Linked DNA regions of Stegostoma tigrinum. The protein of the gene in region 2 interacts with the protein of the main gene of each other region in a biochemical or structural test. Links are inferred from orthologs where the notes say so. Each region holds a gene or a part of one and is shown on either strand. Other genes may lie near its edges. The genes, in order: sparc, collagen alpha-1(I) chain-like and thbs1b.

Region 1 (7,042 bases), on a different chromosome or scaffold from region 2:
TAAAAAGTGGCAACAAATTGGCAAATGGAGTATAAGCTATAAAAATGTGAAGTTGTTCATTTTGTAAGGGAGAACAAAAGAACAGAATATTATTTAAATGAAGCAAAACTGCAGAAAGCTGTAACACAAGGGGAGTTGGGGGTACTTGTGCACAAAACACAGAAAGCTAGCACACAGGTACAAAAGGGAATCAGGAAGGGTTTATAGATTTTCTGAAGAAGGGTCTTGACCCAAAACGTCACCTTTCCTGCTCCTCCGATGCTGCTTAGCCTGCTGTGTTCATCCAGCTTCACACTGTGTTATCTAACGGTTTATAGAATATTGGTCATTATTTCAAAGCGATTGGAGAATGAGCAGGGGAATCTTACTGCAACTGTACTAGGTGTTGGTGAAACCACATTGGAGTGTTGTGAGGAGTTTTGGTCTCCTTATCTAAGAAAATATATTAGCTCTTTGCAGGCAGTTCAGAGAAGGTTCCCCAGGATGTTTACTGGTTTGGAGAGATTGACTTATGACTAAAGATTAAACAGGTTGGGACTCTACTCACTGCAGTTGAGAAGAATGAGAGGTGATCTCATTGAATCATATAGGGTGCTTAAGGGGCTTGACAGGGTAAATGCTGAAGAATACTTCCCGTCATGGGAGAGTCTAGGATGAGAATGCATGACCTCAGAATAAAGAAGCAATTTAAGATGGAGACGAGGAGGAATTTTGTTTCTCTCAGAGGGTTGTGAGCCTTTGGAAGTCCCTGCCAGAGCTTCTGGGGCAAAGTCCTTGTGTATATTTTATGGCTGAGATAGATAGATTCTTGATCAATGAGGAAATCAAGTATTATGGGGAAAGTGGATGTGAGCGTCGGATCAGCCATGATCCTATTGAATTGCGGAACAGGCTCGAGGGGCTGAAGAATTTTCTCATATTCTTACTTCTAGTTGTGTGATGGTCTTAATTTTACATGGATCTCCATTCAGTTTTGAAATCTAAGATAGCATCGGAGAAAGGCACACTACAAAGAATAGAAAAGAATATGATTAATCATTGGATATGTATATTAAAGGTAAGATGTAGTTCATAAGATGCCAAAACAGAGAGAAGGCCAAGGTGGCCAAGTGGATAAAAACAAAATTTAGAGATTGTAAGAGGAAAATATTTGTTTAGTAATAGTGCATTACATCAATGCAAAATGGAATAATATTTTGAAAGACACATTGAATCCTGGTTTGTCACAGAAAGTGAGAGGTATGTACCAAGGTATTGGAAAAGCCTGGAATGCAAAGCATAGAGAAGATTCAGTGAATGTGCTGCACTCCTAACGGTGGAAGTAAGATGCAATTTCTCACAAAAATCAGAATCAAAATTTGGGTATGGGGGCTGGATAAATTGAAATTTTTAAGACCATCAGTAAGATTTTGTAGTCATGTTATCAAGGATATTGGAGTAAAGAAAGGTTTCAGTGTTGAGGTACATATCAACCATTTTCTACTTGAATGGTGGAACAAACTTGAGAGGCTAAATGTCCTCCAACTATTCCTTTGGATAGGATAGAGTTGAGCCATTATCACAATTGGGAAAGGCATAAACTTGAAAATGGGAATGAATAGAACTATCCAAATAGATATAAGTAGACTTGGAATGAAAAACAGGATCTGGACATTGCACGTTATCAGGCAGTGAAATTTATTATAAGCAAACATCTTGTATTGGGCATTAACTAACAGTGGTCTCCACACTGGTTGTGAATAGAAATGGCTTAAGCATTGGAGGTATAAAAATATTCTGGCATTTATGTAGCATTTTTTGAAACTTAAAATATGTTTTACAGCCAATTAAGCATTTTTAGACTATAGACAGTCATAGCCACATCAGGCATGTCCTCACAGTTGATTAACTGTGAATTTATAGAGCTTGTTTGCGGCCCACATTTAGTTTCCAAATGTTTCAATTTAAAAAATAACTGGTAACACAATGTTATGCATTAAGCAAGATGAAAGGTTGAATTATTACACAACTTTGCTGGACACTATTTAAGCAAGAAGTGACAAACACATGAGCTGGCATTTGGATACAAAGATTGATTGTGAATAAGAATAAAACATTGGCATAAGATGAAAATACACTGTATTGCCAAGATTGTTGCAGGCCTACTCACATAAAGCTTTCTCCTTCTGAAACGAAGGGGTTGAAAACAGCAATAAATCAAATAAATCACTGTGGATGTTGCAGATCTGAAACAAAAACGGAAATTGCTGGAGAAACTCAGCAGGCCAGGCAGCACCTGTGGAGAGAAAGCAGAGTCAATGTTTCAGATCTAATGATACTTTGTTAAAACTTGGAATTCAGATTCAACAGCTGTAATAGCTTCTGTAGTTGAATAGTTGATTGCTGTCTGCATGGTTGGATCCATCACATTAGAATAATTTGGAAGAGAGAGATTCTTGTTCTTTGCTGGCTCTGTCATTCTGGAACTTTCAGGTTGCCTTGACTTTTTTGGCAGAACAGCAACTGATGTCTGTATGTCTTCTTCCTTTTACTCCTTTGGCTGAGAACCCTCCCCCAGGCCCATGATGTCTGGCATGGCTCTTCCAGTTTGGGAGTGGGGTCTTACATAAAATGTTTTAAACAGATCAAGATTTCAAATGAGTGCTATCCTAAAAACTGTTGCATCATGTTCCCAAATTCAATAGTTGGCCAAGGCCTGGGTTCCAATGTGGAAAGTAACTTTTTTTTATAATTGTCACAGCCTGGCTTTCATTGCTAGTCTCTTTTGGTGAACTAGGAAGAACTATTCATACATTCAAGGAAATGATTGTCAAGCTTACCCTTGGAAATATTAATTTAATTTCAAAAAGTCTCATGATTTATTCCCATGTAAGTACAGTCTAGTCCCAATACAAGCTGACTGAGGGAACCATTGAATTCTTGAAGCCATTTTGCGTGAGTCTTCAACTATTCTAAAAAGCAATTCAGTTATATTTGCAAGATGTACAGCATTATAATTATACAGCTATGACCGGTCACTGTAAGAAACAGTAAGGTGCCATAGGTAGTAATGAGATCATGCACATTATTTTCATGTTGGTTGAGGGATAAATATTGGCCAGGACACAGGGACAGATATCTTTGCTGTTGTTTAGCTTAATATGATGTGGATATTAAGCGCACTTTAGTGGGTATAATTTAATTAAAATTATTGCCATGATCTCAGCAAATGCAAACCCAGATAGAAGAACCCTCAAAGATTCAAAACGATAATTTGAACAAAGGTGCATTAAAAATCAAATTTGGTACATTTCTAAAGTTTTATTTATAAGAATCATATTTTTGCTTAAGAGTTGTATATCTTTATTTCGGAAATGCATAAAAACGGCACCGAAGTACATTCTTAAGGAGATAATCAGTGAATTCCACTGCAGGAGCTATGTTAGAGCATGTTTATGGAGGGTGCAGCTGAGAGCCACGTCTACTGAGATGGACCTTGGTAATTATCTGCACTGCCTCCATCGCTGGGTTGCTTTACATGTAAATTTGGACCACGTAGATATGCAGTTGCCACGTTGACAGTTCACCACTCCATTCCACCTCCACCACCCCACCCCACGCCAAATAAAACAAAAACCAGATGTTTGTTTCGTTCTGAAAACACTGCCAGACTGAGGCAAAAAGAAACGATTACTGAAGTAAGGATGAACCACTGCTAATTAATTAATATTTGCAGGCATCATACACAAACAGAAGCAGAAGTACACTTAATTGAATAGAATTGTGCTGTTTCGTGCTATAATGTAGCATTATGGAAATGGTGCAGCGAATCTGTCCAAATAAGGGAGTGGGATAGATTGTTCTGGTCTGCGATAGAGAGTGCGTTCCAATAGCAAACTATGCATTTGATTTTCCAACCAGAACAATTTGAAGTGGGGGAGGGATAGAGAGAGAGGGAGAGAGAGAGCCGGCCCACCCGGGATATCATTGCTTCATTTCCTGCCAGTTGACTCTAAAGAGTCAGATTCTTCCATTGCCTCAGTTAGCCTGGTGCTCTCTCACTACCGTGCAGTCTTCTCCTTCTTGAGGTATGAGCTACTGATTTTTTTTCCAGTTAGTTTTCCAAAGCTATTCCTTTGGTATTTCTGCGGATATGTTCAATTCACGATGTTATTAAAAGTAAGCCGCGTGTTTTGAGATTGCATCCTTCTAAGATCTTTTTTTCTGCCGACCCTTATCTGTCACTTCTGCATACCGCCCATTGACTTATAGTGCAATGTTATTAAGATGATCCTAACGGTTAACAAAGGCTTTCTTTCGACTGTTAGTCCATGGGCTATTTCTCAAGGACTCTCTTTGTTTACCGCAATAGTGCAAGACGCTTTAGGATTTACCGTGCCCTTAGGTTTTAATATTTAGTCTACTCTTGATAAAGCCGATCTGGACGGTGCAAAGTTCTACAAAGTTGAAAGATTTCACTCCCCCCCCCCCCCCCCCGATAAGCTTTTATAAAAATGTTTCTCCGGTTGTGAATCCCGTTACCAAGCAGGTGACTTGATTCATCTGGGGCCATTTACGGATCTTTTCATGAAGGCAAGGAAGCTGAGCACGGTTCAAATCTAACGCCCCAGTATGCGCACACAGGCGCCTTCCCTACCACGAAGCAGGGAGAGTAGCTCACATTTCAGAGCTATGTCCGAGTGAGAAAGATCCGTGGTACAGTAACTGAGACGAAGTTGCTCTTGTCACTGTTTCGGGCAAGGATCGGATATAATCTAACAAAGGACATGCGCCTCACCCTCTATCTACTCGACAGAACGCGACCACTCCCTGTGTGTTTTGTTTAATCGAAATTGCCTTTAACAACTACTTTTTGAAATGTTGGGAGCCGTTAATTCGTCTTGCTCTTAACAATTTCTGCAATTCCAAACAAAACTCTTAACGTAATTACTTTTTTAAAATAATAAGGTTAACATGGCACATTCGTCGTATTATGTAATTGTGTTTTTATTTGATTCATTTGCTAGAAAGTCTCTCTTTAATGAACCTAACACTATCGTGAAATGCCCCGTCTGCAGTTTTTGCCAGTTATTAAAGCCTATTTATTATTTTTAAGGAAATGAGGAACTTTCCGAGATGTATGATTTTCAAATGTAACATAGATTCGAGTGAATTCCGCTTGTTCGGAACGGTGTTTTAACTGCATTTTGCACGAAGACCGCTAACGGGGACGATTTCGAATGGGTTCATCTCCAACATGCACCTTGCGGGCTAAAAGCTCACTAACCGCGCATTATGAAGTGAACCTGGGATCTGCGAGATTGGAAAGGGGGGGCGGGGGTTATCTCTGCATGGCTGATGGGTGGGAAGGGTTTGGGGGCGGTTAATTCACCAGATGTATCCCTGGCTGACTCCTGTGTGTGTTAGCTGTAGGGTTAGTTCTTGCTGGACCAGCTTAGCAGGTGCAAACAGCTGGATACCAGCAGGGCTGGTCAACATCTGTCGACAGTTTATTATCTCCTCGTTTCGTTTCGGGTGGGTGGCTGTAGGAATGAAAAAAAAACTGATACAACAATTTGCCACTACGTCCTTCCACCCCCTTCTACCAAAACACGCCCACTATCTTTTTTTTCTAAAAGTATGCTCCCTCCAGTCAATGTCCAGTATCCCCCTCTTTGACTGTATGAGTTTCGGTTATCATGAAGGGGGAGAGTATACACGGTGAGCAGTGGTCCTAAGCGAGCAGGTTAACGGTGGAACAAAATGGCTAGCATTCGGCTGAAGTTGCTACACCGCAATGTCATATACCAGTTAGTACAATGTGAGCAAATATCAATGCCCACCCAGTGTGTACACGATACTAAAACACCATCATACAACACAGCACGGCGGATGCTGGGAATCTGAAACAGAGCCAGTAGTTTCTTCAGAAACTCGGCACGTCTGGCAGCACTAGTGGAGAGCGAAAAACAGAGTTAACATTTTCAGTTCTGAAGAAAGGGTCACTGGACTGGAGGCGTTATCTCTGCTTTCTCTCTACAGACTCTGCCAGACCGGCTGAGTTTCTCCAGCAATTCCTTTTTTTTCTTTGTTCCTGAAACACCATAAGTAGGATTGCGGAGCTCAGAGTCATAGAGTAAGGTAAAATACAATTTTACACTGAAAGTTTCTTAACAGAACATATAATGCATCCAAAGCAGAACAGAAGTGCATGAAGCGACCAGGCAGAGGAATGTGGTTCTATAGGAGGCAACTCAACTTTGACTCGCTGCTCAAGTGCCTTAAATTTTGACGATTAATCAAGGAGGTGAAATCCGATTTATCTGATTTGTAAATGAATATGTTTATTGAAAACAAACACAAGTAAATTCTAGAAAGTGCTGGCAAAACTCTGTAGTTCTGGCAGTAGTTGTGAACTGAGCTGACGTTTTGTGTGCATGGGCTCACTCTAGGAGAGGAGAGGAATTCGGAAAAGGGTAAGTGAGGAGGATGGAGGGTGGGGGAAGAGGCTAGAATTACTTCAGACTGATCTCCCACTCACCAAGTCAGAGCTATTAAAAGTGACCATTGATCTGACTTCATTCCTCTCAAATTGCCTCTTTTTGACTTCACTGTTTCACAAGGGTGTCCGGAATGTCACTGCGAAATAGATCTTCTCCGTTGGCAGAATTCCGACAATATCCTTGCAGATTTCGGAGACCTACCTTCCGGCAGCTATGCTAATCTAGAGGGTCAGTTTATTCTGTAGGTTAGTGTACAACTAAGCATTTCAATACAGGACAGAAAGCGGGAGGCTTGTCTCGGTACGTTCCACACGGGCGCTGGTTGGTTGTCATTCCAGAATCCCTTTGACTTAAACGGTGACTTGCAATGGGCAATAAATTCAACTGATGCTGCTTCGTCAGCTCCCATTCACTTACGAAATGTGTGCAGTAATGTTTGCTTTTTTGGGCGACGTGCCGGGGCTTTGGGGTGGGCTGAGGGGATGGGGTGTGAGTGGAATTGGAGGCGAGAACACCCGAGGAGGAAACCAGGCTTTCCTGTCTGACACCACCGTGTACTC
Region 2 (7,034 bases):
TCTGTGTGTTTAAAATATCTTTTGTTAACCTGGAAATAAAAAGCATTTCTATTTACCTGAATACCAGGGCCAGAGGGATACTGGAAAGAAAAATTAATAAGTCAGTGTGTGGATATGTGTTACAAGTAACCATGTAAATATTTCATTGTTGTATTGTCTAAGTGAATATGATGTACTTACTGTTTCTCCACCTTCTGCTGTAACAAAATAAAAAGAGCTTAATTTATAAACACATTTTCAAAAACAACGGAAAGCATTGTAATTATTGCTCATAAACAGCTTATAGTTTATTTACTGCACATATGTTTTTTAGGGAGGAGAGTGCAAAAGGAAATTACTTCTAAGACTCCTTCCGGTTTTGCTCTACTTGGGCCTGTGACATGTTCATTGAATCATTCAATGATGTCATAGCTAAAACCCATAATGCTTAAATTGGTTTAAAGAAAACCTCTATCAGATCAAATGATTCAGAAAAAGACAATAACCTGGGTTTTTAAAAAAATCAAAGACACTCAATTAAATTAAAATTAAAAGCGGTTTGTTTATTGTGGCTGTGGTACTTTTGTGTTAAATAACCCCTTAACGTTCACTGTCACTTTCACCATGAAATGGCAAAACATTTCCTGCAAATCATAAATGCTGACGGACTAGTATAATGTAATCATTACTGGTTTTGAAGTGAATTCACCTAAAGCTTTCAAACGTAATGTGTATTTTGTCACTAGGTTTAAAAAGCAATGTTTAGAATTGTCCATTCGAGTGGATACTTCATTCCACTTCCAGTTGCTGCCGCGCAGCAACTATTGCTACCTTTTCCTAAACTACATTGCTGTTGATAATTGAGTTTGGGAATGTAAGGCGATGATATAAGTTGTCAGGTGGCTGGCGGAGAGCACTTAAAGGCGCCTTCGAACAATTGACTAGGGACCACAGCAAACACTCACGATCTTTTTCGGGGCAGACGGGGCAGCATTCTCCGTCGCGCACTTCGGCATTGGGGCAGTCGATGGTTTCCTCGCAGATTATTTCGTCACAAAGGACCCGGCCATTGTCGCAGACGCAAATCAGGCAGGGTTCGGGTTTCCAGATATCCTTGTTTTCGAACGTTTCTCCATCCTTGTAGCAGCTAGGTCCGCTATCTGAGAATCAAACGGGATATATCAACCGCGGTGATACCAAACGCCCTCTAATGGGCAGAAAGGCAAGAACGCCTTTGGGGGAAAAAGTGACAAACTTCAAAGGGACGAGAAACTGTATGCAGATTCATGTTGAGCTATTTATTTTGTATCCCAAACAGCCTAAGATAGAACTGATAACACTACTCCTCAATTTAAAAAGAACATGCACTTTTGACATTGTGACCTGTATGGAATACAAGAATTTTCGACATTTAAGTTTTAACAATGCACCAAGTATTTTGGTCTTTAGTTTAAAGGCGTTGCTTTAGTGACACAAGCTCGCAAGCCAAGATTATCAGGCGAGAAATTCAACAGATGGCGCTCAAGCTCCACCTCAGATTTAGCACTGCAGTAAACCGCACAAAAGTGCATCCGACTCAAATCATTTTTTAGTCAATGGTACGCAGTTTCATTTAAAACACGTCCCGTGCAGAATTGTTAATGTGGTGGTGGAGTAAATCAGAGTTAAAGTGGATTTCTGACGAAGAGTCATATCGTACTCAAAACGTTAAACTCTTTCTCTCTCCACAAACGCTGCCAGCCCTGCTGAGTTGCTTTTTCCGCCAGTTTTGTCTGTTTTAAATTAGAAGATCCTGGTTGTCTTGGGGAAAAAAAGCCAGTTTACAATAGCTACCATTTTAACATGTTGCCTAGAGATGGCGCTGTTAAGCCACAGCACTGGACTGCTACTCAGAACTTGCTTGGCTTTGAAAACAATGTCTAAACATCTGGATTGCTTCTATTCCGAACACCGGACATTTTTTTCCCCTCAAACAACTTCGTTTCTTGGCTTGAACTTTAAATACGCTAATTTTCGGAATTGGAACAATTTCGATTTTCTTTAAAAGCTACCTTATGTCTGAAAATCGATTTGTGGCTGCAAACTAAACAGAACTAGGCAAAAATCACTAAAACTCAAACCCAGATTTTACCGCTTTATGCATTTTATTCAATTTAATAATATTTTAAGTGTATTTTAATTCGCGTTGTGCTCTGTTTTCCATCTGTTTGACACTATTTTCCATTTGGACCCAATTTATTCGAAATTCGCCACAAAGGATCTGCTCCAAAGTGACACACCCACTATCAAAGGCAGCTGCTTTCAACCAATTGTCTGGTCGAGACTCCTTCACTCCAACTAATATGGTCCCAACAATTGTCTGTGTTCTGTTTCCCTTTCTTAAACGGGGTGGATACTGCAATTCTTGTGGGCTGGCGGAGAAGTTAGACAGTCTGACAGCCACGTAATACACAAATGTAGTTTCTTTTAATGCACCCATCCCTTAGAGATCGAAAAACCATTCCATAAAAGGAAAATCGTTGCGGTAATCTATTTCAAATCGTTTGCATAGTTCGAACAAAACGCAACAAGCTTTCGGAATGCTCCAAACATTACCGTCTGAAGCTAACATCAGGAAAATGTTGCCTGACATTTTTTCAATCGACAATCCTGCAAGTCAATTTCACATTAGAGCTTTCTTTGCAAAGTTTTAACAGAATTCAAAGTTGTGCATCCCTCTCCCGTTAGGTCGATCGTAGCGTTCGCCTCTTAAGCGGGCGATAGACGGGAGATTTTTCGAAACAGTTCTTCAGGACGAAACAGAAGGAAAACGAGAAAGGAACACTTACTGTCATCGTCCGCTTGACATCTTCCCACCACTAACGTTGCTGCCAGCAACAGCAAAGTCCGCGTATCCACAAAGCTGAACATGTCTAAATATTAGACATGTAGACTCTTTGGGGTAAAAAAAGGGAAACTTTCTTTAACGTCCGGACATGCAATGGTTCTGGTGTGTAATTCCAAGCTTCAGCACCGAGCCCCAGCAGAAACTTCCTACTGTTCCGTTTGCAGATCGCCTGCCCTTTTATGTGTGCCAGGCTTTGGAGGTGTGAATAGTTGCCGCCCATCTCCACCAGTGACCCCCCCCCGCCACCAAACAAATCTCCTCCTCCAGTTGGAAACCGGCAAAGTCCCCGCCTGCGGCAGGATCCAATTGTCTCTGACCATCCACTAACATGTACGTAGATGCCTTCCTCCAATCGGGGTGGGAAGAGGGAATTCTGGATGGCTGGTGTGAACCGCCATGTGGCTGTTGGACTCATACTTGCACTCCATGCCCTGCCTCCTTCTCTATACATCACCCCCCCCCCCCCGCCCTAACCCCGACGCAAGACCCATTTAATTTGATGAACCATAATTCTTTTCCTAAAACCTATTCTTCTTCAGACACGGGCACATCATTTTTCAAAGGCACTTTTTTTTTTATTGGCTTCGTTTCAGAGGCTGTTACAGAGCAGAGAGACACGTTGAAGCATGACTGGGTCAAAGAAGGGCTGGAAAACTTTCAACTGAAGGAACGGCTTAGCTCTTCCTAACCAACATACACGTAATCACTTTTATTGATACGCCAACTCATCAGTTTTTTTTCAGAAAAACACGAAAGTTGGGGAGTAATTGGTGAGGAAACCTCCAAGAAACTAGACTTGAAAAGATCCAAATCAAATGTTTCCCGGATTTTAGATGAGACACATTTAAACGCAGAAATAAGTCAAATTGTCAATGTTGTGATCACTTTTCTGCATTTTATTTCCCCTTATGGAATCACCCGTCGCCTAGTGTGAATCTAACAAAGAGATTACTCTGTAATCATGGACTTGCTGTTGAAATAGCAATTTTCAATCAGCAGCATTAGAATTGAAATATAAAAACCGAAAGGTCATAAACCTGAGGGGTTTAACAGTGGCATGATTCCCCGAGCGGAACTCGATTGGTTTCAGCTAAAACATTTGCACCTTGCTAGCATTGCATGACAACGAATTAGGCTGCTCTGTGTTTTTGTTTTGTTTGCAACTATTTGATTGTTACTTTATAAACAACACCTGTGAGGATGTCGATTTTTTTTTCATGCCTCAGCACTCTTATTTTCGTAAGGATAACCTGGTGTGGGGGCTGGGGAGGAGAGTTGGAAAGTTGAGATGTGGCAGAGAGACGGGTATGTGGTTGCTTCTTTCCCAAAGGAAACGACATCGAAATGAACGTGCCCCCGAATCATCCTGCTCCCAGGATTTAATAATTTGGGATGTGACGCTTGATCGAAACCTGTAGTGTACTGTAATTTTTATGAAAAGCAGCAATGTTTCAGTAAGTCACATAAAATGATAACAGTTCAACTTTCTTATTTTTAGAGGTTTAAAAAATAACGACATAAAGTGACAATTCGTTCCAGAACAAACCAACAGCTAAAGGGAACTCCCAGAGCGAACACACTAAATTTTCCCCCAGTTACGAAATCCTTTTCTCATAACGTGGAGGATTTGACAGAACCAAAGCAGGGGTTTCAAGTCACGGGCGATGTATTAATATATTCGTTTAGCTCACTCTGTGATAGTTGGGTGAATTGGTGACACGTCTGAAAACGCTTTTGCAAAGCCCGCGGTGTATGTGGTAACCATGTAGCGCTGCTGAAAAGATCATCAAGAAGCAGTTGAGCAAAATTCCTTGTGGGCTGCACGTTTCCTACCACGAACGGTGCACTCCAAGACAGTGTTGGGTGGGGCGATAGGAGATTTCCCAGTATTTAGAAGGTGTGCTACTTTGAATGTAATAATACCTGCGAATAATTGTGTTGTCACACTAAAAGCATCACAACTGCTGTGTTCACCTTCCACTTTGATTTATTGCGCACATTAACACGTTTGAGACTTGCATCCACCTGGGCTTGTGCTTCAATTGCGTTTGGCGAGTGGCATAAAACGCAACGGATCGCTGTATCCTGGGTTTAGAAGTGGTCCCCTTTCTCTGTCTTTGCCTGAACTGACAGTTCCCCGCACAGTGATTAGCCTGAAGCCCCTGAGCTCGACCTCAGGAGACTTCTCTACCAGCTTCCCTTACGTAACGATGGAAGAATTGTTCGGAGGAGCAGTATTTTCTATATTGAGACCACTGAGGGAGAAGGTTCTACAGGTGGTGTGGGTGGAGGGTCAATTTTTAGTTTATATAAGTCGGAGGTGAATGTTTAATTCAATACAGTTGGGGAGGGCTCGGTGCACTTATACAAACCAGATGGAATCACTAGTTCGCCTCAGTCGATCAAATCTGAACAAAAAGATGAGAAACGTATATATTTTTTTCCTGTTGAAGTTATATTCCTGACCCAAAACAACCCAAATATGAACATTGAAAAGATTCTCCCGAACTGCTCAGTGATTTCTCTTTCTGATACCGAGTAGACAGCTCCACATCTGGGATGCGTTAAACTCGCTTACATCAACACTATTCCAGTTGCAGATGGGATGAATTAGTTAACATGTTTTTTTGGATCCCAAAGAAGAAAGGCAGGAATGTCAGGCTCTATGGCGTTATGGTATTCACTGTAATAGTAGGCAAAGAAAATAGTTAAGGATTCCGATTAAATTCACTATATCGTTCTTGAGTCCGGGCTGTTTTGGGAGAATTAAAATCAATGATGCTTTTTAAATTATTTGGTGCAAACACCATTTCCCATCGAACGGTGCTAGCAACCCCTGTCGCCGTTCGCAGTGTCTACGTGGTGCTCTTGAAGAAGTAGGTGCGGTGCGAAAGAGGGCAGGTCTCTTGCAGATGGGTCACACTCATCATTACATTTCCCCTTCCCTGACCCTCGCTTCACCGTGCATGACTCAAACGCAAATTTGCACCAAACGCTGCTGTAAAACTTCAACTTGCTATATTTCTCGACTTTAAAAGACAGCTGAAATACTTTATGCATATCTTAGCTGAGCCACCAAACTGCTTCTTATGTCTCAGCACAATTGTTACAAACTACCACCTTGCCATTTGGAGTCGATTCTGCAGAATCCCCCAGCTCTGAGCGAAGCAAGCCCAGCTTGAGACGTGCTCCAGACCTATGCCATATCATTTCTGCGCAACTTGATTACAGAATATCTTGGAGTGATTTAGACCAGTCAGGTTAACTTCGGTGGTGGGGAGAAAGACTTCTAGTAGCAATTATTCGGCATCAAATTAATAGACACGTGGAACAAAACTGAGTTATTTGGGAAGAGTCATCATGCGCTCGTTCAAGGAAAATTGATTCGAACTAGCTGAAGATTTTTGAAGAGGTAATAGGCGCAGTATTAATGTGGTGCACGTGGACTTTTAAAGGGCATTGGATACCATGCCGCACGAAAGCCTTGTGACTACATTTATAGGTTATGGAATAAAAGGAACAGTAGCAAAATGGACGCAACATTGTCTGGGAGATAGGGGAGAAAGACTAATTGTGGGTACTTTTCAGGCTGGAAGAAGTTTTGTAGTGGAGTTCCCCAGGGGTCAGTGCTGGGAGTTTCTCTTTTTCTGATATACAAAGGATTTAGATCTTGTGTACAGGGGTAATTTCAACATTTGCAGACGACACAAAATTTGGTAGAATCGTAAACTGTGAGGAGGACATTGTAGAATTCCAAAACAACACTAATATTGGAGGAGTGGGTGGATTGATATCAGGATAAGCTCAATGTGGAGAAGTGTGAAGTAATACACTCTGGTAAAAAAAATGCAGAAAAAAGGGTACTGTTCTAAATGTTATACAGGAGCATAAAGATCTGGGTTTATATGTGCTCTTGTATATGAGCTTTTGTGCTCCTGAGATGCTGCTTGGCCTGCTGTGTTCATCCAGCCTCACATTTTATTATCTGGGTTTATATGTACATCAGTTATTGAAGGTGGCAGGGTAGGTACAGATTAAGCATATACTGTTGTGGGTTTTGTGAATAGGGGCATAGAGAACCAAGGGCAGGGGGTCTAGTTGGTCAGTAGGGTTATGATGAACTGACAAGAGACTCTGGTGAGAGGTCAGCTGGAGTATTATGTGCATT
Region 3 (6,973 bases), on a different chromosome or scaffold from region 2:
AGAAAGCACACTCCAGTTGATATATTGTCTGCCCATCCCGCATATTTTGCTGATTTACATCAATTATCTGCAAATTTACTCCCTGACAAAATTACCAAGATTACGGCTTTCATACTTTTCTTCTGGAAAAAGCTTTTAACATTGTTCCAAGTAGTCAGTTCCTTTAAATTTGGTCCAGTTTATATTTGGCACAGGCTCTTCCCCTTGAAAATATTGCCCAATGCAGTGTTTCCCTACAGATATTCAAAACCACTCAAAAGCAACCCAAACAGTCCTAAGACCTGTGGCTTTCCTAATGCTTTTTAACCGTTTTGGCAGCGTTGGTGATAGTTCCAGCTACTAAGTTGGCACGACAATTGACTACTGCTAGACCATGCAATTTCAATCTGAATGCAAGTGAAACAACTTTAAGTGATTATTACAATGCAGGAATCTTTGCTATAGCTTTTTTTGGAAAAGCAAGTTAAGTTTTGAGTTGCATCAAATGTTGCGGTTTTACCTGACAAGTGCAGTCTGTGCAGTTGTCCACTTTCCATTGATCTTTGTCTTTGTAAGTCATGCCATTGTGGAAACATCCTCCTATCTGTTTGATTCCAATGCTTCTTGCAATTAATTCATTTTCTGCAGTCTAGAGGAGAAGGTAGTGACAATTCATTACAACCCCATGCACAAGTAACTAAAGTAACTTACAAAAGGCTCGATTCCTTTAGTCTCCTTACCACTTTCTGAACATTATCAACCAGCTGGGTGACCATGGTCCTGAGAGCTTGCAGTTCAGAGAACATGTTGGATAGTTCCTCGCAGGAGATGCCACAGACCGTCTGAAGATCTTTGGTTTTGTGACCATAAAAGTTGGTCCTGATGGCCGGGCTTTCAGAGCCCCTGATTGGTAAAGGAAGAATCCCTGGGGCAGCTGCAAAAATAAGAGGAGCAGTTACATGAGGGCTGGCGGTTAATGGGACACATTCTGAACTGTTCCAGCCAAGACCACTGGATAAAGTCCTTTGGGTAACAGCTCATATTTGTTTTTATGGACAAGGGTGATTCTACTCAAGAGGTTTTTAAAAGCAAAGCCTGACATGGAATGCAAGCAGCAATTCGTTCCACCCACAAAAACACAGCACCTGCATTTAGAAAGTTGATGTTGCTGGATTATTCCTGATACAATTCCGAACTCTCACTGCAGCCCGCTCGCCCCTCAAAAACACACATATAGGGCGGGGGGGGGCTCACCTCATGTGAATGAGATGGTCCCTAGTTAAGAGTTCGGGATAATCTTTGAATCTCACTAACCACTATCACTCGAGGTGAAGTAGTGCGGCTGTTTCAGCGGAGGTGAGCAAGCGCTTGTACAGGAAAATTTCCCCCGGACAGGCCCGTGTCGGATACTTACTACTGTAGCAGCCCTTGTTCATCAGAATGGTTTCCAAGTTGGTCCCAAAGACAAAGCGCACGTTCTGCAGAACTCCCTGTGTCACACAGAAGGAAGAAACAAAATTGGAGCCACTTTTTCAAAAAAACAAAATAGTAAGCCACGATTCCTTCTGCACTGCACTTTTATTTGTTAGTTAACGTCATGTCGAAAAACGCGCGAACTTCCGCTACATTTAATGCTATCTGAAGTGACTCCTCTGCCCAAATTCATTTTTGAAACAGCCTTTCGTTTACAAACCATTCAGTGCATTACCAGCCGTCCGCAGTTTCTGTAACTTGCGTCGAGTCAGTTATTGCACTGTTCCTGCCTCTGGCTGTCCCCCCTTCGTGAGTGAGTGAGTGTGACTGTGTGCGCGAATGAGAGTGAGTGAGTGAGTGAGTGTGTGTGTGTGTGTGTGTGTGTGTGTGTGTGTGTGTGTGTGTGTGTGTGTGTGAGAGAGAGAGAGAGAGAGTCTGCCCTTACCTGAAAATTGTTTCGGAGCCCAGGTCCTCCCTTAGCCAGCCTCAGGCTGTAGTCACCAGGCTTCAGCACTTTGTGAATAGCTTCCTCCAACTCCACGCCATTGACCTTCTCACATCCCACATACAGCGTGGCCACGTCCTCCTGCACGAAGAGAGTGAGGTTTTTCCAGCGGGCATTGGCCAGGTGCGCATCGGTGATGGACACCATACTCTGCTTGCCGTCGATGGTGATGGTCAGGTCGAGAGTGTTCGCCTTGCCGTTGGACAGGATCTCGAAGATGCGTGTCCCTTGCAGCGTGTCGATGGCTACTAAGGTCCCCCGGCTCTTTTTCATCTGGCGCAGGGTGGCCAGGAAAATGAATCCCTTCTCCTGCTGGATGTGATCGATCAGCTCACTGAAGCTGTTCTCCGAAGCCGGGGCAATGAGGTCAGGGTTGAGGATCCTGTAAGCCGGGCTGCTAGACTCCGGTCCCTTTACCATATGCACCCCTACATTCTTGCGAGTAAGGCCAGTGATGTCGAACAGATCAAAGACTCCATCCGCTCCGGCGTCTGTCGGGGATTAGGCAAGAGAAGGGCACACATTTAAACGCACAGCATTAACTCTTCAAAGCAAGTGACTTCAACAGGAGGGGAGCGCCAATAGCTGCGGGGGGACGTGCACTCACAACTTACCTTGGATTCGCTTGGAGGAGCAAGCAACAATCATCAAAAGGAGGAAGAGTCCGTGCAGTGGCTTCATTTCAGAAGGAACTCTCTCAGACCCTGGCATAAAAAAAGGGAGAATTTTTTTTGTTTTAGCTGCATAGAGTTTCCAAAACAATTATTCAAACTACTGTGTTACTGCTATCATCGACTGAAATGTAAACTCGTTCACTGACCAGTAGTGAAGGCTTTCAATCCTAAAATGAACAGTGCAAACAATAATAGCTCCGCGGATGGTAAACGATGGCAAATCCGAAATGTACAAGATCTGGTAAGCTGGCTTCTCAGACTCGAAACGTTACTTGTATTTTTTTTGTTTCAAAAGTCTCTCTTCACCTCGAAGTCTTTGCCTAAGAAGCAGCCCCTGAAGCTGAAGGTACCCGAGATCGATACTACTGTGAGCCTGGAGAACGGCTGCTTTAAATACCCTCTCACATTCCTCGCAGTCAGTCTCTGCCAATCACTGGCTGCCTGGGAGGAAGCGGGCTTGTGTTTATTCTGTTACCTCACAACAAGAGGGATACAGTTCCGAAGCAGTCATGACCGCACCGAGGAAAGTAATTAGGCGGATTCCAGTGGAGCTGGGCCAAAAAGACGCAAAAGAATTTTACCGAGAGGTGCGAGAGTTCTAGCCAGACCCCACCCGCCTCCGCCATCCTGTCCGTGGATCCAGATTTTGTTGCTCTAACCCAGGCAGTCCTGTGTCATACATTCCCTTCCCAGACATACCTTTATTGAGCAAAATGTAACAAGCACCTGTTGGAATATACTCTGAGTCTCCCTATGATAGGAATCTGATGGTGTGGTTTAAGAAAATGACTTTTTTTATTTCAGTGAAATGATGTATCTCGAATAAATGAAAAATCTGTTCCATAATTCCACAAATTGTGAGCTTGTGGTTATGTTGCGGTCCTGTGTTTTCGAGCTGTCCTCCGATTTCCCCACTAGGGGGAAGTGTGTCGTTTCATTTGCCGGCCAGCGAATGCTTTTCGGGTTCTCGAGTCTCGCTTGTTTCACCATCTCAGGACAGCGCGAAAGCATTTCATACCGCTTCAATCCAAATTGCAAATCGATCAGTCTCGCAGCAGATCTCGCCTTCCGACATATTTCAGCAGTGCCAACCCAAAAATGTAACTTTCCTCGATTTCATGCCACACAAAAGTATCCAGGTTGTAAACAACTTTCTAATGTCTGTAACTACACTTACGCATGGCCGAACTATATTTTCAGCGTGTTTAAAAAACTTTTGCTAAAAAGATTTTTTTAGAAGTTATTTTAGTTATTTTCCATTCCATCTCTAAGTCATTGGAGAAAATTCTGATCCTGGAAATAGTTTTTGACGTCGGTGCATTTTTTTTTGCTTACTCCTACAGTAGCGAGAGTCCGAGTATGTCAGCTTCGTCAAGATTTCCTGAGACAATAGCAGTGTACGTTTCACTCTGTGGCTTTGGCCCCTAGCTGACTCGCCTTCCAGATCTTCTGCACAGGCGAATATTTTACCAGCGCAATTTCTTCCATTGTCAACTGGCCACATGCAGTTAGGGTTTCGCACTGGTGTCAACCTGTCCAAAGAAGGGGTGAACCAACACTGCGCAATATTTCCCAAAGCCAAACAAATTTGCCTTTGCAGCTTTTGCAAGTATTCTTGTCCCACTTGACCTTGTCAAGAGGTTAAAAATCTCAGTGTCAAGAGGTTGAAAGTCTCGGATGAATCCCTTTATGGCTCGGTGTTTGTACGACGGATGGGGGTGGTCTGTGACAAGGCGCATTAGGGTTTAAAATTCTCCGGTCCATGTACAGTCCGTACTTCTCTTCGCCAGGGCTGAATTCTATGCCGAATGAAAGCAAAATACTGCAGATGCTGGAAACCTGAACCATAAGTGGAAAATGCTGCAAAATTTCTGTTCTTATTTCTGAAGTCTATGTCCTTCTTGCCAACAGTAATGAGCCTTGCTCCATAATGACTACTCACTGGAATCATAGGGTCTTTTAGACCTGAATATATTTGAGTTTGATGCATTCTGGAGTGTATGGCACCGGCTCTCAATGTGTAGTTGACTTTGTTGGTGATCTGGAATGAGCACATTTCCCAATTTTCAGTGTTGCACCCTGAATTGACCCTGCCTGTAGCTGTCAGCCCATTTGCTCTCTCTGTGCGTCCATTTAAAACCTGGATTGACTTTGCCCTGAAAGAACAAACTAACCAAAGATCTGTGAGGTTCGTTAAGCAGCCACTGATACAACATGATGGAAAAGATACAAACTACTAGTTGTGGAATCACAATTTGTTAGTAAGTGAAACAAACTGCAAATGGGGCAAGTAGACCCAACAGTGGGACAGAACAATTACTGATATATTGTTGTAGTGGGGCGGTAAGGGACAATTACATAAATGGAAAGAAAATAATTTGTGTGGAAAATTATAGCATGTTTTTGCCAGGGATCCCATTGACAATAAATTAAAGGTATTGAAACAATGTTCAGTGGTACAAATATATCAAATCAAATGTTGTGATGTATTGAAAAGTCAATATTGAACTGATACTGTGAGTTACAACTGCCACTTTACAAATCATTGATGTAACTGCACTTCGACTAAACAGTGTGAAAAGTTCTATTCACACTTGTAAAAGAGAGACATTGCAGTCAGTGAAAGAATACAGAAGATGACAACCAATGTTATTGAAAGGACGAAGAGATTGGATTATGAGCACCAATTATGTAAATTAAGCATGTTTTCATAAGTGATGAGCTGCCATTCTTCTTTACTTGGAGTGGGGCCTTATGGTGCAGCTGTCCTATTCCCCACCACTTACTAGAGGGCAGCCTCGAGGATAGGAGGCCTGGGTTCAAGTCCCATTTGCTCCAGAGGTGTATTATAACTTCTCTGAATAGGTTTCTTAGAAACAGTTAGTTGACTTCATTAGCTGTAGGGGCCATCTGAGATTGAGAAAGCTGTTACAACCATGTAAGTGTTTATATTTTTGAAAAATCTAACTGATTCTTTGTGAGGCTGTAAACCTTGCAGTCTTTATCTGATTTGATCTGTATGTTGTTGGAGTCCAGACTGATGTGGGACTTTTGATTGTCCTGTGAAACAGCCTAAAGTTCCAAAGTGGACTGCATTATTTCAGGAAGGTGGTTCACAACATTAAACACATCCCAAGACTGAATCAATGAAAACAAAAGTTAATGCATCCTGTGATAACAAGGTGTAGAGCTTGATGAACACAGCAGGCCAAGCAGCAGTAGAGGAGCGGGAAGGCTGACTTTTTGGCCCTAGACCCTCCTTCAGAAATCTTGTTATCTCAGATTCTCTAGCGTCTGCAGTTCCTACTATCTCTTAATGCATCCTGTGCTCTTTGCTGAGTCACCCAGAGCAGAAAGTTTCTCAGTTCAATTTCTTTAAATTCTCCAATTCCCCAATTTAAACTCTGATGGTCATTTCTTAAATATTTTTAATCTACCCATTTAGACATGTTATGACATCTTTGTGGGCAACTGAGATTTGAACCTAGACTTCTGACCCAGAAGCGGGGACACTACCACTACACCACAAGACCTTAAATGTCTCATTTAAGTTTTAGTCAAGATAATAAAATGTGAGGCTGTCTTTGAATCTCCAGCATCTGCAGTTCCCATTATCTCTAAGTTTTAGTCAACTTGTTCAGTGATATTTTCACAGAGTTAATAGAGCAGATGGAGCTTAAACCTGGACCTCTTAGCTCAGAGGGGCATTATCAACACACCATAACACCTTAAAACTATCAATTATGCTGCTTGTTGTTAATGCCCCCATCTGCAAACTGCATATGTTTCAATAAGCCTTAGTGCAATGAATTCATCTCATTCATCTGCTCCCACCTCCACATTTACCCTGGCCTATTCCATCCACCACTTCACGTCCCTCTCCCTCCATTCTTGCTTGCCTTCTTCCCTCCCCCTATAATCTTGAATGTTTTTTTTTCATGAAATTCTTTGGACAGAAGCAGGTATGATTCAGCCAGGGACATTTTGAGTAAGAATTGTTGGAATTGTTGAAGGAGGGGATCCTCCGTTACTTTCTAATCCCTTTGCAGGATACCCCGATATGGGGGACGAACACCCAATGACTAATAAGATAATACAGTCCACTTTTGCTTGTTATAAAAAAAACACTCGTTCCTGCCCATGTTGCAGACGGTCTGAAAATTAGACTTTGGAGTGCAGCCTCACGCATGCAGCACACAGGAATTCGCAGCGTTGAAAGATTTCATTTTCCCACACAGAGTCAGATTGGTGTTCTAAATATCTACACTGCAGGAGATAAGAAAAATCATGTCAGATCCATTTTTGGATGTTTTAGCTAATTGCTGTTGTGTTTGTTTTCTCA

What was found.
Region 1: the proteins of collagen alpha-1(I) chain-like (region 2) and sparc form a complex in vitro, tested with the Homo sapiens proteins (2 studies listed by BioGRID). The link is inferred for Stegostoma tigrinum from reciprocal best matches to the Homo sapiens genes COL1A1 and SPARC.
Region 3: the proteins of collagen alpha-1(I) chain-like (region 2) and thbs1b form a complex in vitro, tested with the Homo sapiens proteins (2 studies listed by BioGRID). The link is inferred for Stegostoma tigrinum from reciprocal best matches to the Homo sapiens genes COL1A1 and THBS1.

The regions. Positions count from the first base shown.
Region 1 is NC_081366.1:16,785,450-16,792,491, forward strand, and holds the start of sparc (SPARC), read left to right. Parts: upstream 1-3,929; 5' UTR 3,930-4,067; intron 4,068-7,042.
Region 2 is NC_081384.1:21,098,493-21,105,526, reverse strand, and holds the start of collagen alpha-1(I) chain-like, read right to left. Parts: upstream 3,030-7,034; 5' UTR 2,890-3,029; coding exon 2,808-2,889; intron 1,140-2,807; coding exon 945-1,139; intron 198-944; coding exon 181-197; intron 81-180; coding exon 57-80; intron 1-56. UniProt on the Homo sapiens protein: Type I collagen is a member of group I collagen (fibrillar forming collagen).
Region 3 is NC_081363.1:68,485,305-68,492,277, reverse strand, and holds the start of thbs1b (thrombospondin-1), read right to left. Parts: upstream 3,012-6,973; 5' UTR 2,778-3,011; intron 2,662-2,777; 5' UTR 2,639-2,661; coding exon 2,572-2,638; intron 2,449-2,571; coding exon 1,898-2,448; intron 1,470-1,897; coding exon 1,394-1,469; intron 914-1,393; coding exon 720-913; intron 629-719; coding exon 500-628; intron 1-499. UniProt on the Homo sapiens protein: Adhesive glycoprotein that mediates cell-to-cell and cell-to-matrix interactions.